Linked DNA regions of Canis lupus familiaris. The protein of the gene in region 2 interacts with the protein of the main gene of each other region in a biochemical or structural test. Links are inferred from orthologs where the notes say so. Each region holds a gene or a part of one and is shown on either strand. Other genes may lie near its edges.

Evidence for each region.
Region 1: of the proteins of DYRK1B (region 2) and HNF1A, one has a biochemical effect on the other in vitro, tested with the Homo sapiens proteins (2 studies listed by IntAct, with this or other methods). The link is inferred for Canis lupus familiaris from reciprocal best matches to the Homo sapiens genes DYRK1B and HNF1A.

Annotation. Positions count from the first base shown.
Region 1 is NC_049247.1:17,146,756-17,154,412, forward strand, and holds the start of HNF1A (hepatocyte nuclear factor 1-alpha), read left to right. Parts: upstream 1-3,475; coding exon 3,476-3,801; intron 3,802-4,332; exon of another isoform or gene 4,333-7,657. UniProt on the Homo sapiens protein: Transcriptional activator that regulates the tissue specific expression of multiple genes, especially in pancreatic islet cells and in liver. Binds to the inverted palindrome 5'-GTTAATNATTAAC-3'.
Region 2 is NC_049222.1:114,430,807-114,437,738, forward strand, and holds part of DYRK1B (dual specificity tyrosine-phosphorylation-regulated kinase 1B), read left to right. Parts: intron 1-935; exon of another isoform or gene 936-969; intron 970-1,917; 5' UTR 1,918-2,018; coding exon 2,019-2,081; intron 2,082-3,116; coding exon 3,117-3,236; intron 3,237-3,324; coding exon 3,325-3,513; intron 3,514-3,661; coding exon 3,662-3,809; intron 3,810-4,675; coding exon 4,676-4,962; intron 4,963-5,671; coding exon 5,672-5,818; intron 5,819-5,899; coding exon 5,900-6,040; intron 6,041-6,332; coding exon 6,333-6,648; intron 6,649-6,932.

The DNA.
Region 1 (7,657 bases), on a different chromosome or scaffold from region 2:
GGGTGGTAACTGAATTCCAAGAGAGCCCTGAAACTGGTTGAAAGGGCACCCCTCTTGCGCTGCCTCCTATGGCCAAGGGACACAGCCTTATGCCTTACCTGAACTCTGGCTTTGCAAATCGTTGCTTGCCCAGTAGGAGAGAACGGCGATAAAGCTCAGGGCTACCACTTGCTGAGTATCTGCCGTGTCCGTGTCCCCGTTGCTCCTTGACTAGGCGGGCCGCTCGCGGGTGTGCACAGGTGCCCCAGACGACTTTAGGGGATTTTTAGGTGGTCCACAGCGACACCTGCCGGACATCGTGCAAACTGCTAGCTCAAGGTAGTTTCTCGTTTGAACGTCGGAACTTCGTTCCTTTGGAGGATGGGGAAACTCGCTAAAGCTGGGTTAGGGGCGGTTCCGATTAAAAGCAAGTATCCTACAGAAATTACTGTGGCACAGAAAATGAGGGCGGAAATGCCCAACATAATTCCAAGGATCGAATTGCGCAGAGTCCAGCAAGTTCTCATTCCATTAGTATGTATTTAGGTTTATTCCAGAAGGAACTAAAATAATATTTTTTCTTTCAACTTATGTGTATTTTTCAAGTGGCCTCTAAGTTTTTGGGACATAAATATTTAAGAGTTGTTTTGACCCAAATACTTGCAAAACCAGTTAGGTTTTATTGGGGGGGGGGGTGTTTATTTGTTTAGCACACGAGTGGGAGTAGGAGGTGCCCTGAAATAATTTCGGAGACACTGAGGGTGCCTTGAATCAAGAAAGTTTGGGATCCCTGCATCATGCTCTTTACCAAACGTTGTCTTAGCAGCCCTAGGAGATATACCTCTGTTTTATACAGATGAGTCTAGAAAGGCTAACTCACGTGCCTGAGGCCCCCCGGGGGTGGGGCTGGAGGTCGAATGTGGGAACAGTGAACATTCAAACGAGGTCTTGTGTCCTCTAGGATGCAAACAGTTTCTCCATTTAGATTTGTCTGCGGATTGTGGGGAAGGGCACCCCTTTCTGTTTGGGGAGAAGCAGGGTCATGTTCCTGATGCGTCCCTTCTTGTTCATCCCAAAGGGCCCTCTCCCGGGGACCAGGACCGCAGCGTCGCGGCCGCTGGGGGCAGAAGCTCCGTGAGGCTCTGCACTTCCCCCTCCTCCCACCACCACCAAATCCATCAGGAGTCCCAGGCTCAGCCACCAGGCTGCGGGAGGACTCAGCAGCCAGCGCTCAGCGGCGCCGGCAAGGATCCAGGCACCGCCGGTGCCCTCCCTCCGGGTCCCTATTCTAGGTGAAAGTCACCAGGGGGCAGCGGGGGGCAGCAGCAGCCGCGTGGCCGCAGGGAGGAAAAGCACTGCGGGCAGGGGCGGTCCCACCTCCCCAAGGGGCCGCGGCCAGCGTCAGCGTCAGGCGCACAGGCAGGCTGTGGGCTCCGCGGGATGCTGAGCCAGTCATTTAATGCCTCTGAGCCTCTGTCCTCCCACCCGTCGCCCTGCGGAGGGGAATGCAGGGCCTACTAGGTGGACTTCTGAGAATTTAATCCGTTACTGAAGCCTATACTTAGTGGAGCGCGCCGCATACATGGTCCTCGTGCAGTGAAATTTAGCCGCCTGTGCATCTTCAACAAATAATTATTGAGCACCTCCTGTACCATCGAGGCAATGCTCTAAGCTCTGGGACTCTAGCAACGAGAAGACCGACGAAAAAGCCCTGGCTTCAGGGAGCTTGCACCGTAGCAGAGGGACACAGAGCATAAATAATACACGGAACACCCAAGGCAACGCCAGAGCAGCACTGTCCCGAGGAAAGAGAACACGAGCCCCATATGTAACTTACATTTTTCCAGTAATACTGTTACAAAAGTAAAAAGAAATGGGTGAACTTCATTTTTCTAATTTTTAATTTAGAAGATTTTATTTTTAAAAAATTAAAAAAAAAGATTTTATTTATTCATGAGAATACACAAGAGGAGAGAGAGAGAGAGAGAGGCAGAGACACAGGCAGAGGGAGAAGCAGGCTCCATGCAGGGAGCCCGACGTGGGACTCAATCCCAGGTCTCCAGGATCAGGCCCTGGGCCCAAGGCGGCACTAAACCACTCAGCCACCCGGGCTGCCCAATTTTAGAACATTTTCATCATCCTGCAAGAAATCCCTATACCCATTAAGCAGTCCCTCCCTCTTCCCCTCCCCTCAACACCCTACCCCACCCTCAACCACTAATCTACTTTCTGTCTGGTATGGATTTGCCTCTTCTGGATATTTCCTATAAATGGAATCACGTGTGGCCTTTGGTGACTGGCTTCTTTCACTTTACATAGTACTTTCAGGGGGTCACTCACGCTGTACCAAGTGTCTGCGTCTTGTTCCTTTTTATGGCCGAATAATACACAGTTGCATGGATACACCACATTTTACTTATCTGTCCATTGCTGGATATTTATGCTTCTCCCCCTTTTTGGTTATCATGAATGATGCTGCTGTGAACATTCACATGCAAGCTTTTGCAAGAACATGTTTTTAATTCTTTGGGGGTTGGCATTAATTTTGATTTTTAATATATTGTAGAAAAAGGTTTTCTCGATGACTGAGTTTTTGGATGCCCCTTAAACAATTTATACTTGAGGCAAGTGCCTGCCTGGCCTCCTCTGGTTCCCACCTTATAAGCCTTGTCCTTTGCTAGCAGTGTGGTTTTGGGCAAGCTGTTCAGCCTCTCAGAGTCTTGGTTTTCTGGTCTGTAAAACAGAGATGATCCCTATACCCACTCACAGCTATTAGGGGGCTACAATGAGGCAATGTCACATTTCCCAGACCAGCACACAGTCGACTTAAGTCAATGTGTCTTTCCTACAGAGAGGCCTGGTGTTGGGCCTGGAGAGGTGGGTCCCAACATGGCTGTGACCTAGCACTGACCTTGAAGAAAGCTGGCCCACCTGCCTCGAACCGCTTCTTGCTCCAGTTCCCAAGGGAAAGCTGCTCTTTTTTTTTTTTTTTTCCTTCCCTCTCCTGCCTCAGCCTGAGCCCCCCGTCAAAGTCCTCGGGGGCGGGACCCCAAGCTGTTACCAAAAGGCCTCCGTGGCCCCCCAACCCTTCCATCCCGGCTGCCCTGCACCCCCTCCCCCCTGCTCCCCCCCCACTCCCGTTGAAGGCCTCGGCTCCCCCATCCCTCTGCACTGCCATGAGGCCTGCACTTTGCAGGGCTGAAGTCCAAAGTTCAGTCCTTTTGCTAAGCACACGGATAAATATGAACCTTGGAGAATTTCCCCAGCTCCAATGTAAACAGAGCGGGCAGGGGCCCTGATTCACTGGCCGGCTGGGGCCAGGGTTGGGGGTTGGGGGTGCCCACGGGGCTTGGTTAGTGGGGTTTGGGGGGGCAGTAGGTGCAAGGAGCCTGGTTTGTGGCTGCCTGCCGGTCGGCCAGCAGGTCGACAGCCCGCTGGGTGGGGGAGGCGGCCGGTTTGGTGGCCCCGGGCCGCGTGGCCCAGTGGCGGCAGAGCCATGGTTTCTAAACTGAGCCAGCTGCAGACGGAGCTCCTGGCGGCCCTGCTCCACTCGGGCCTGAGCAAAGAGGCACTGATCCAGGCGTTGGGTGAGCCGGGGCCCTACCTGCTGGCTGGAGATGGCCCCCTGGACAAGGGGGAGTCCTGCGGCGGCGGTCGGGGGGAGCTGGCCGAGCTGCCCAACGGGCTGGGGGAGGCGAGGGGCTCCGAGGACGAGACGGACGACGATGGGGAAGACTTCACACCGCCCATCCTCAAGGAGCTGGAGAACCTCAGCCCCGAGGAGGCGGCCCACCAGAAAGCCGTGGTGGAGACCTTGCTGCAGTAAGGACCCCTTCCCCATCCCCGGCATCCAAGGAGCCTAGGGACCCCCCCCCCCCCAGCTCCTGACTGGACCTTCCTCCGAGTCCAGCTTTCCACGAGCTCTAGTTTTTAGCCTGGCTGCCGGGAAGGGCCACAGGGCCCGTCAGAGCTCCGGGCGTCCTTGCTCCCCGGTGGCGGTGGCGGGAGCCTACGAGCCCCTAACCAGGCCCTCTGCAAGGTCGGGAGTCCCCAGGAGCCAAGGCTTTCAGCCCAGAGCCAGGAAGCAAGCCCGTGGCCCGGGGGAGCTCTGAGATGGGGACAGAGCAGGCACGTCTGTAATTCATGTGCCTGGAGAACCGGAGGGTGGTGGCAATGGTCAGTCACCATGGCCCTTTCTACTCCCCCAACCCTCCCCTCCCTGCTAGGCATTCCAGTTGCAGGCTCTGGGGCCCGGAAGCACTGTTAGTGAGAGGGGGGCCGAGGCTGGGGTTTTAGGGGCTCCCTCGGCCACCTAGGGACTCAAGCATTAAGCTAGGAAAGCCCAGGTCTTACCTGAGGGAGATGGAGCCTAGGGGCAGGACCTGCTCCCCTTTCCTGCACAGCTTCAGCCCCTCCGCCTCACCGGCAGGCACCCTGAGAGGTCTCCCTGTTGTGCACCCCCATCCGCTGGCTGGTTCCCCAAGTCCCAGAGAACTGGGTGGGTCTGAGCCCGATGCCTCCCCTCTCCTCAGCAGAGCTGACCTGGTTACTAATTACCCATGAGCTTTATTATTTCTCTTTTGTTTTATAAATTTATAAACGGTAAAAGGCTCTGATAAGGCCTGTGATCATTAACTTGTAAAGATGGTGGCCTGGGGAGGCCTGGGCCAACCAACCCTCCTACCCAAAGGGGCGGGGGGAAAGGGGTCTAGGGGCTGTGGGGACTGCCCTCCCCAAGGCTCCTAAGCTCCAATCCTAACAGCCAGGCCCCAAGCTGAGGTTTCAGGTGCATATGGTCGGATAATGTTGGGATGAACGGCGGCTGACTAGTTAGCTAGGGATAACTGCTTCACAGCTGGGGAAACTGAGGCCCAGCGAGGGGAAGTAGCTCGACTAAGGCCACCCACTGGCGCTCCACAGCCGCTCTGCTTGGTGCTCTCAATTGCGGCGGCTGGGCAGTGGGAGAAAGAGTCCCAAACAGACTCTCTACGGGACCTTTTCTGTCCAAGGTCCTGATCCCAGCTTGGGGTGGGGGGAGCCCTCAGGGTCTGCCGGGCCTTGTGAGGGCCTGGGCAGGGGGCAAGGGAGCAGCCAGGGCCCCCTGACTTGGCAGGAAGAAGAGGGCAAAGGGCCCTGCTGCGCTGCAGGGGAGGGGCAAAGAGTCAGGCATTGCCAGACCCAGGGCGAGGGCGACAGGGGACAGGGTGGGGCCGGGCCAGACCTGCTCCGGGGCCCAGATAGCACTGGGGGCTTTCGGGTGGGAGTGGGGGCAGGGGGTGCCAAGGGCCTTTCTTACCTGGCTGGGTGGGGCCTCTTGATCAGCAGCCCCTTTGGTGGCATGGTGAGTAGGGGGGAGGCTTCATCCATAGCACCCGAGGGGGGAGCAGGGGTCAAAGTGCTCCCTGGGAGCCAGCAGAGACCTGGAAGCTGAGGGAGATCGGGGAGCTGTGGAGGAAGAGGGAGGGCGTGGGGTTGGGGGGGAGATGGAGAGGCCTGGAGAAGGAGAGGAGAGCAGAAGAGCCGGGAGGGCCGAGGGGCTCCCACCCAGCTGGGAGAAGGGGCTGGGGAGAGAGTGAGACACCCCAAGCTGCAGAGAAGGCTGGAGTGCTTCCCGCCTGACCCGATTGGGTTTTCTTTAATGCTAACAGCATGCTATTTACTTTCCATTTAAATTTGAGATGTTGCTATAAATTATCAACCAGCTCCTTGTTCCTGCGGAGTTTATAACTAACTACCTGGGTTACTTATTGTTCAGGTAACAAAAGGGATCTGAAAACGCCCCGAGGGAAAAAAGTGGGGCCTCTACCCTCAGGACCCAGGAGGGAGTGGGGTGGGCACCCCTGATGAAAGCCTGGACAGCAGGGCTGGAGGAGCTTAAGGCTGGAAAGGATGGTGCAGAGGCAGGGTTGCCAGTGGACGCCATTTCTCTGGAGAGGACGGTGTGTGGGAAGGGGCAGGGTGGGTCCTGCCCCCCGCCCCGGGTACCTCGTGCCTGAGGCCACAGCAGGAGCCTGAGCTCTTCTCAGACCCCCACCCCCCTTAGTTCACTGTGTGACCTTGGGCAAGTATCATCTCCTGCCTCATTTTCCCTAATTGGCCAGTGAATAAAATTCAAATTCCCTGTCCTGGTTCCCTGACCTCTTCTCAAGGGACCTCTGTGCCTCCCTCACATCCCTCCCAGGACCCCCAGGAGGGTCGACTGACTTTGCTGATTCCCACCTCAGGGTCTTTGCATGTGCTGCTCCTTCTGCCTGGACACTTCTTTCTAGATCTTCCCATGACCAATGCCCTCTCCTCCTTTTGCTCAAGGGTCATCTCCTCAGGGAGGCCCTCCCTCACTGCCCCCATCTAAAAGCAGGTCCCACCAGAGTCACTCTCTCTTTCACTACCTTCTGTTACTTTCTCTTGTCCCTTAACTTTACGTACGATTGTTTTTGTCTGGTTTCTAACTCCTGCCATGAAAATAGAAGCTGTTCAAAGACAAGATCTGTGGGGTCTTGTTCACCACTCGTACCCCCGATATGCAGCCCAGTGGCTAAAATACAGCATGAATGAATGAATGAGTGGCGAGGATTCCCTGAAGCCCTGGGGACATCTGCTGTTATGGCCAAGGGAGGAACCTGTACCCAGGGCTCCTTCCTGGGTGTCCTCTTGGCTCCTCCCTGTCCCTGAGCCGCCTGAACTTCAACCTGAGGGATGATGTCCTGGGTCCCCTCCATCAGGCAGCACCAGGTCTTTGAGACCCAGGAAGACAGTGGCCACGGTGGGACAATCTGATATCCCTGACTGAGGCCGACCTGCCCGGGTTCAAATCCCAACTCAGCCCGACCCTGACTTGGGCAGGTGATTTCACGTCCCTGAGCCCTGTGCCCTCTGCAAGGCATGGATGACGATAGCACTTACCCACAGGGTCAAGCAGCATGCAGGCGCAGTGAACGGTTGCTAGGAGTAATAGTCCCATTTTACAGATAAGCAAACTAAGCCTCAGAGAGGCAGTGACATGCCCAAGATAATTTATGAAGCAGTAAGGCCAGGACTTGGACCCAGGCCGCCCTAATCCCACGCTCTGCACAGCATCCTTGAGGTTGCATGCTGACCGCGCTGTCCTTATAGGTCTATTTCTCTTTTTATCCTCTCGTCATTCTGCTGTTAACCTCACATCCACTCACTTCCACGTGGTGCTCGAGAGCTCCCGACCACTTACAAATGCGTTAAACTTGTTTTCTCCTCCTGGCAACTTATGAAATTCTTTTGGCCGTGTATCACGGTTGGGGAAACTGAGGCACACAGAGGTTGAGCAGTTTCCCAAGGCCACCTGGATAGTGCGTGGCAGAGCTGGGATTTGACCCGAGCTGGGAAGCTTCTCTGAGCTCCCCCAACCTCCATGCACTGAGAACTCCACTCCCCCTCCAGACTCGTGGCCCTTCCCACTGGTTTCTGAGCTCCATAGCCCTTGGACCCTCTGAAGTCCCAGGGGCCAGCGAGCCAAAGGCCCAAAGTCTTGAACTTCTGATTGATCCCTCCCAGAACCCATAAGAGGTGGGAGGAGGAGATGTGGGCAGATCTTCACGTCTCCTGGGTCCGCTTCCCTCTGCATCAGGGCTGGGAGGCCCATGACCACATCATCCCTGATGACGACGATGTTGATGGTGACAAATTGTTGTACTTACTGAGCACT
Region 2 (6,932 bases):
GGGGGCGGCGGGCAGGTGCAGGCCGTGCCTGGCTATTCATAGTCGGATTCTAGGAAGTGGCCGAGCCCGAGGGAGCAGCCTTGGGAGGGCGGCTGGGAGGGGGTAGCGGGGCCCGGCTCCCGCCCTTTGTTTGGGCTCGGCTCCTCCGGCTGCATCGTCGTCGCCTAGCAACAGCTGTTCTGAGCTGCGATTGGCTGAGCTCTTGGCAGCAGCGGCCAATGGCACGGTTGTTGCCATGGCAGGTGCGGACTGCCAAGCTCAGGCCGGCCCCGCCCGCCGGGCTCCGCCGACCGGGGCGGGCCTCCAGGGTGGGGGGCGGGACGCCTGGGTCCCCAGGGGCGGGTGGCTGCGCGGGGCGGGGCCGGCGGGGCGAGGGTTAACCCGCCCCTCCCCCGTCCACCTGCTTTCCCCTTCCCCCGCGTGCCCCGGGCTGACCCTCGTTCCCTCCTCTCCCCGCCCCCGGCGGCGGCGGCTGCTGTTGTCACCCACCCGGCCGCCTGTCCCGCTTGCCCTCCCCGCCGCGGGGCTTGCCGGGCCGGCCGGGCCGGGACAGGCGGCCGTCTCCTCTCTGCCGCCACCGCCGCCATGCTGGCCGCTCGCCCACCCCACTGGGGGCCCCACCGCGCCCCAGCCCCCCGTGGGCCCCGCGCCAGCCCTGACCCGGGTAGGGGGTGGGTGCTGGGAGAGACGGTCCTGCTGTGGGAGGGCCCCAGGGAAGAGGTTGTTTCGGGTGAGGGGCGGGGGAGCTCCGAGAGAGAGGAGGGATCGTGGAGTGGCAAGGCTTGGCATAGGAGAAAGGGATTGACATGGGAGAAGGCCTGTGGGGAGAGGATTTTGGTGTGGCAGGTACTCTGGGAGGGGAGAACTCTATGTGATATTCGGGGATTTTGGTTTCTGGGGGCCTTCTAGGAATGGCACAGGTGTGGATTGACCCTGGTGTAGAGAGGAGTAACTGGAGAAAGAGCCCTGGTAGGAATATTGGATGGGGGGAGGAGGGAAAGATACAGTGTAGGGGAGAGAAGGGCGAGGGAAGAGACGGCTCCTCCTTGCTCCCATCAGAAGAAGTGAGCCTTGATTGGGAGGGGGACCACGGACTAATATGGGGAAGAGCCCTTTTGTGGCACAAAGAAACTATCTGGTGGGGAGGGTCCCTGATGTGAGAGGAAATGGTATAAGGATAAGGTCTTGGCATGATATGGGGAGGGTCCCCTGGGAAGGGGGTGCCCTGATGGATGAGAATGCCATAGGGGTAGGAATTTTTTATATAGGGACAACTCTGTATAACAGGGTAACCTTGGTATGCTCTCCAGGACCCTGATGTGGTTTTAGGGGCCTGCAGAAGACTCTGCTATGGGTGTGGAGGGGGCCCAGAGTTCTCTTGTGGTTTGGGGGGAGGGGAATCCTAGACTTCTCTAGGATCTACTGGGAAGGGTAGATCTTGAAGTGAAAGGACCTTGCTGTGATAAGAGGTGATCCTGACAATCAGGGAAGACTGCAGGAGGGCAGGATCTGGTGTGAGGGGGCCCTGGGGAGGGCCATAAATAGAAATGGGAAGCAAACCTATACTGTCTGTGGTTTCTATCTTTCTTCTCTTTCTCACCCCAATTATTGGTGTCTTTTTGTCCTTTCTTGTCATGGCCTTTATCCCTGCCTGGCTTCCAATCATTCCCTTTCACATGTTCCCCTCTTTGTGCCACCTACTTCATTTATTTGGTAATCATTTGTTGAGGGACTCTGCTGTGCCCCCACCCCCACCCCACCATTTTTCACTGTCCCCTTTCTTCATTGCCACCTGTTGTCCTTTTTCTCCTCTCCCTATGCCCTACCTTCTCTCTGGTGTCCACCTCTTTCCCACCTGTCCCTGTCCCACACATCTTCTTGTTCCATGTTGTTCCCCTGCCTCCCGCCTGCTCTCAGGTCTCAGCGGCGGTGGCAGCCGAGGTGCAGGATGCGAGAAGGCGCCCCCCGGCCGGGCTCCCGCTCCAGGCCTCGCTCCCCTGCGGCCCTCTGAGCCCACCATGGCCGTCCCACCGGGCCATGGTCCCTTCTCTGGCTTCCCGGGGCCCCAGGAGCACACGCAGGTATGCGTTCAGCTGGCTCCTCACATGCCTGGGGTAGGGGGAGGCTGGGGATAGAAGGGTCTTGGGGCCAAAAGATTATTTGGTTGCCCAGAGCAGTCTCCTGGGGCCATGAAAAGCCCATCTGGAGTGGAAGATAATAGAGAAGTTGGTGGCAGAGACTGTTTGGATAGCCTGGGTTCAAATCCTGACACAGGGTTAAATTACTTAGGTTCTACCTGCTTCAGTTTTCTTTCTCTTAAAATGAAGCCAAGAATGATAACTACCTCGCAGGATAGTTGTGAGGTTAAGCAAGTTAATGAAATGCATGTAAAATGCTGAGAATAGTGCCTGGCACCTAGGAAACACCCAGTAAATGTTCACTAAGGAAAAAAGGTCCAGAGTGAAAGATGGGCAGTTGGGGTGCAAGGGGGAGAAGTCTGAGTCCAAAGGATCCTGGAGCCAGCAGCATCTTACACTACAGAGTAAAGATATTCAGGGGTGGAGACTGTCAGGGCTCTGAAATGTAGAGCTTGAAGCAGGATGGAGTAGGAGGTGCCAAGGTGCTGGCTCCCAAAAGACTGGGGCAAAATGTGCAGAGTTGGGGGTGAAGGATAGGAAGATACCACAGGATAAGGGTAAAGCAAGATGGCAGCCCTCAAGATGGGACACCCAGAATGATGGTGGACTGGGAAGGGCAGAGCCTATGTTTTCTATCTGATCTCTCCCACGGAGGTTCAGAAAGGAGTAAAGGTGTAGGATGAAAGGTCAGGAGAAAATAGTTCACCATTCATTCACTCAGCAAATCTCTGATGACCACCCACTATGTGCCAAACGCTACTTGGCACTGCAGATACAGCAAGAACAAGACAGTCTCTGCCCTTGGGGAATTTCTGTTCCTGTTGGGTTGTCACACAGTGATCAAGTAAAATGTGTATATGGTGACAATGACCCGGCCACCCAGAGAGTTCTCCCTAAGGTTGTCTGTTAGAGGTAAAGGCCTATCCTCAGTGCCATGCCGCACCCCCCCCCCCCCCCCCGCCCTGCCTCACCCCGCAGGTATTGCCTGATGTGCGGCTGTTGCCACGGAGGCTGCCCCTGGCCTTCCGGGACGCGACCTCAGCCCCGCTGCGCAAGCTCTCCGTGGACCTCATCAAGACCTACAAGCACATCAATGAGGTGGGCGGGGGACCCAACCAGGTGCTGAGGGGTCCTGGCAGCTGGCACAGGGCACTCAGCAATCCTTATCTTCTGGCTGGCTGGGCAGGTATACTATGCGAAGAAGAAGCGGCGGGCCCAGCAGGCGCCACCTCAGGACTCGAGCACCAAGAAGGAGAAGAAGGTCCTGAACCATGGTTACGACGATGACAACCATGACTACATTGTGCGCAGTGGCGAGCGCTGGCTGGAGCGCTATGAGATTGACTCACTCATCGGCAAAGGCTCCTTTGGCCAGGTGCGGGGTGCCCCCCTTCCACCCTGACCCAGGGATAGAGAGGCATGGGCATCCACTGATACTGACCCACAAAGGAGTAGTGCCCTGTTCTGTGCCCCGTCCCCTTCCCCCGCATTTCCTCACTTTGTAACATGCCCTGCCCCGGCAGGTGGTGAAAGCCTATGATCATCAGACCCAGGAGCTGGTGGCCATCAAGATCATCAAGAACAAAAAGGCCTTCCTAAACCAGGCCCAGATTGAGCTGCGGCTGCTGGAGCTGATGAACCAGCATGACACAGAGATGAAGTACTATATAGGTGAGGCCTGGGGCAGCAGTACACCCAGTACAGTACTGGGTCAGTGTCTTCAGGGCAGGGGCTGGTCTGGAATCCCCTGACATCAGCGATTCTCCTGCCGCCTTAGTGATTGTTTCCCTATTCCCATGATGGCTTTGGTCACAGTGTATTGGGTGCTCGCTAAGGGTCAGGCCCTGTTGCAAGCACTTTCCCTGATTTAACTGGCTCCAGTCTGACCACAGCTCTGGGGGGAAGGGGCACCTTGGCCCACAGCTTGGAGACGACGACAGAGGCATTCATGTGCTATCACTTGCATAAAGTCACAGCATTTGTACTCAGAGGGGCTATAATTTCACCAGGCAGTGGGCTCCCAGGCCTATAGTCATAACATCTGCATCAGTCTTTTCCTCTTTCCCATACTGATTCTTAGAAAAGGCAAGTGGATTGAAAAAGTGTGTTTCTTTAAATACACATCCTTACCCTAAATGGAAAACTAGTGTCCCCTGCCACAAAAATAAATAGAACTGAGACTAAAACAATGTTACAAAATTAAGTGAGAAAATCTAGAAGGGCAGTAAAGACCCATCAGCACCACAAGGAAACGTTCTCTGGTTTATCAGAAAGTTTGACAGAGACTTGGAAAGAATGAACTTCTCTTAATCAAGGAACTCTTTCTCTTGATGTGAATCGAGTTCCAGATCATATAAAAAACACCCTGACGAGCAGCTGCTTCCCGTGGGCACACCACAATTTGGCCAGCGCTCAAGAGGCAGAGCCCCGGATCGGCTTCCAGCCCCTCTGCCTACTACTGTGCATCCCCGGCCGCCACCGGGCCTCTCTGAGCCTCAGCTTCCCCGTCAGGCCCATTTCCATCCCCTTCCCCGCAGTGCACCTGAAGCGGCACTTCATGTTCCGGAACCACCTGTGCCTGGTGTTCGAGCTGCTTTCCTACAACCTGTACGACCTCCTGCGCAACACACACTTCCGCGGCGTCTCCCTGAACCTGACGCGGAAGCTGGCGCAGCAGCTCTGCACGGCGCTGCTCTTCCTGGCCACGCCCGAGCTCAGCATCATTCACTGCGACCTCAAGCCCGAGAACATCCTGCTCTGCAACCCCAAGCGCAGCGCCATCAAGATCGTGGATTTTGGCAGCTCCTGCCAGCTTGGCCAGCGGGTGCGGCGTGGCCCGGGGACGGGGGCGGGGCTCGCGGCGTGGGTGTGGCCCGGGGGCGGGGCCAACTAGTGGCGGGTGGGGCGGGGGTGCGGCCCGAGGTGGCCTGGAGGGTGGTATTGGAATGGGGTGTTGGCGACCTAGCGTTGTAAGGCCAGCTGGTGCGGAGGTTAAAAGGAGAGGGCCACAGGGTATAGTACCCAGTAGGAAAGGAAGAGAAGCCTGAGGAGGCAAGGCCAGCTATGAGGCGTTCAAAGTGGGCAGGGTGAAGTGGGGTTGGCTTTGAGCCTGGAGAGGCGTTTGGCTAGGTTTTGTTTACCCGGTGCTCTGAAAGCTGGGGAGGAAGTGGGGGACGGGTGCTTTAGTTTGCAGCTTTGAGTCAGCAGGCATTTGAGATGGCTTGGAAAGGGTCTGAGTGGGGGGTGGTGGGAAAGGCCTGGTCTTGCAGACTGCCAACCTCTGATGACCAAGGAGGGTCAAGTCAGTCTTTGGATGAAGATCAGGGTCAGACTAGGCTAGCAGAGACTTCTGAGGCTGATGAATAAGTGATGGTAGTGCCTCCTGGAAAGTGGGTGATGTCCTCAAGATTTGTAACCCTAATGCTCCAGTTGCATGGAAGGAAGCTTGTCTTAGCTTTGAGTATGTCATTGGCACTACTAGGGGAGGCTGGGACCTCTCTTGACTGTTGCCCTGTTCCCTGCTTCTTCCCCAGATCTACCAGTACATCCAGAGCCGCTTCTACCGGTCGCCTGAGGTGCTTCTGGGCACACCCTACGACCTGGCTATTGACATGTGGTCCTTGGGCTGCATCCTGGTGGAGATGCACACCGGAGAGCCCCTCTTCAGTGGCTCTAATGAGGTGTGCTCCTGAGGAAGGGGTGTGCTGGAGGGGGCGGAGGCCTGGCTGGCCTGATGACCCTGACTGCCCACCTGCTCACAGGTGGACCAGATGAACCGGATTGTGGAGGTGCTGGGCATCCCACCAGCCCCCATGCTGGACCAGGCACCCAAGGCTCGCAAGTACTTTGAACGGCTGCCTGGGGGTGGCTGGACCCTACGAAGGACAAAGGAACTCAGGAAGGTGCGGCCCCTGCCCCATGCCGCTCCTCCTACCCTGGTGGCCCTTTACTCTCTCACACTTGGGGCTTCCTTTCTCCCTGCTTCCTCTCCCTTGTGTCTTTCCCTTCCTTCCTCTCCCCTTGTCTGTCCTTTGTCCTGCCCCACCCCATCTCTCCTACCCACCCCACAACTCTTCTTAGCTTCTCTCCTTCCACTTTCTCTCTTGTGCCTCTGTTTCCCCGTGTGTGTCTCCCTGCCCCTCCTGCCCACTGACGGCCACTCTCTTGCCCCCCCTCCCACCCCCTCCCTGCCAGGATTACCAGGGCCCCGGGACACGGCGGCTGCAGGAGGTGCTGGGCGTGCAGACGGGCGGGCCCGGGGGCCGGCGGGCGGGGGAGCCGGGCCACAGCCCCGCCGACTACCTCCGCTTCCAGGACCTGGTGCTGCGCATGCTGGAGTATGAGCCCGCCGCCCGCATCAGCCCACTGGGGGCTCTGCAGCACGGCTTCTTCCGCCGCACGGCTGATGAGGCCACCAACACGGGCCCGGCAGGCAGCAGTGCCTCCACCTCGCCCGCACCCCTTGACACCTGTCCCTCCTCCAGCACCGCCAGCTCCATCTCCAGCTCTGGTGGGTGCCCAGTGCCAGGTGGGGTAGAACAGGAGGGTGGGCAGCTCTTGTTTGGCCTGGCCTGGGGGACCTGGCCACACTGGGCCTTCACCTAGAGCTTTGAAACTGCATGATCCTGAACTCCAGAACAAGTGGGGCAAACAGAGTTCTGACTGGTCCTGACCTGATCTCCGAGATTGAGCTTGGGCTCACATCTCTAAAACTGCTTTTCACTCTGATACCCAAAACTGAGCTCTGACCCATAATTTCAGAATTGGGCCCTATCCTCTAAATAGACTCTTGTC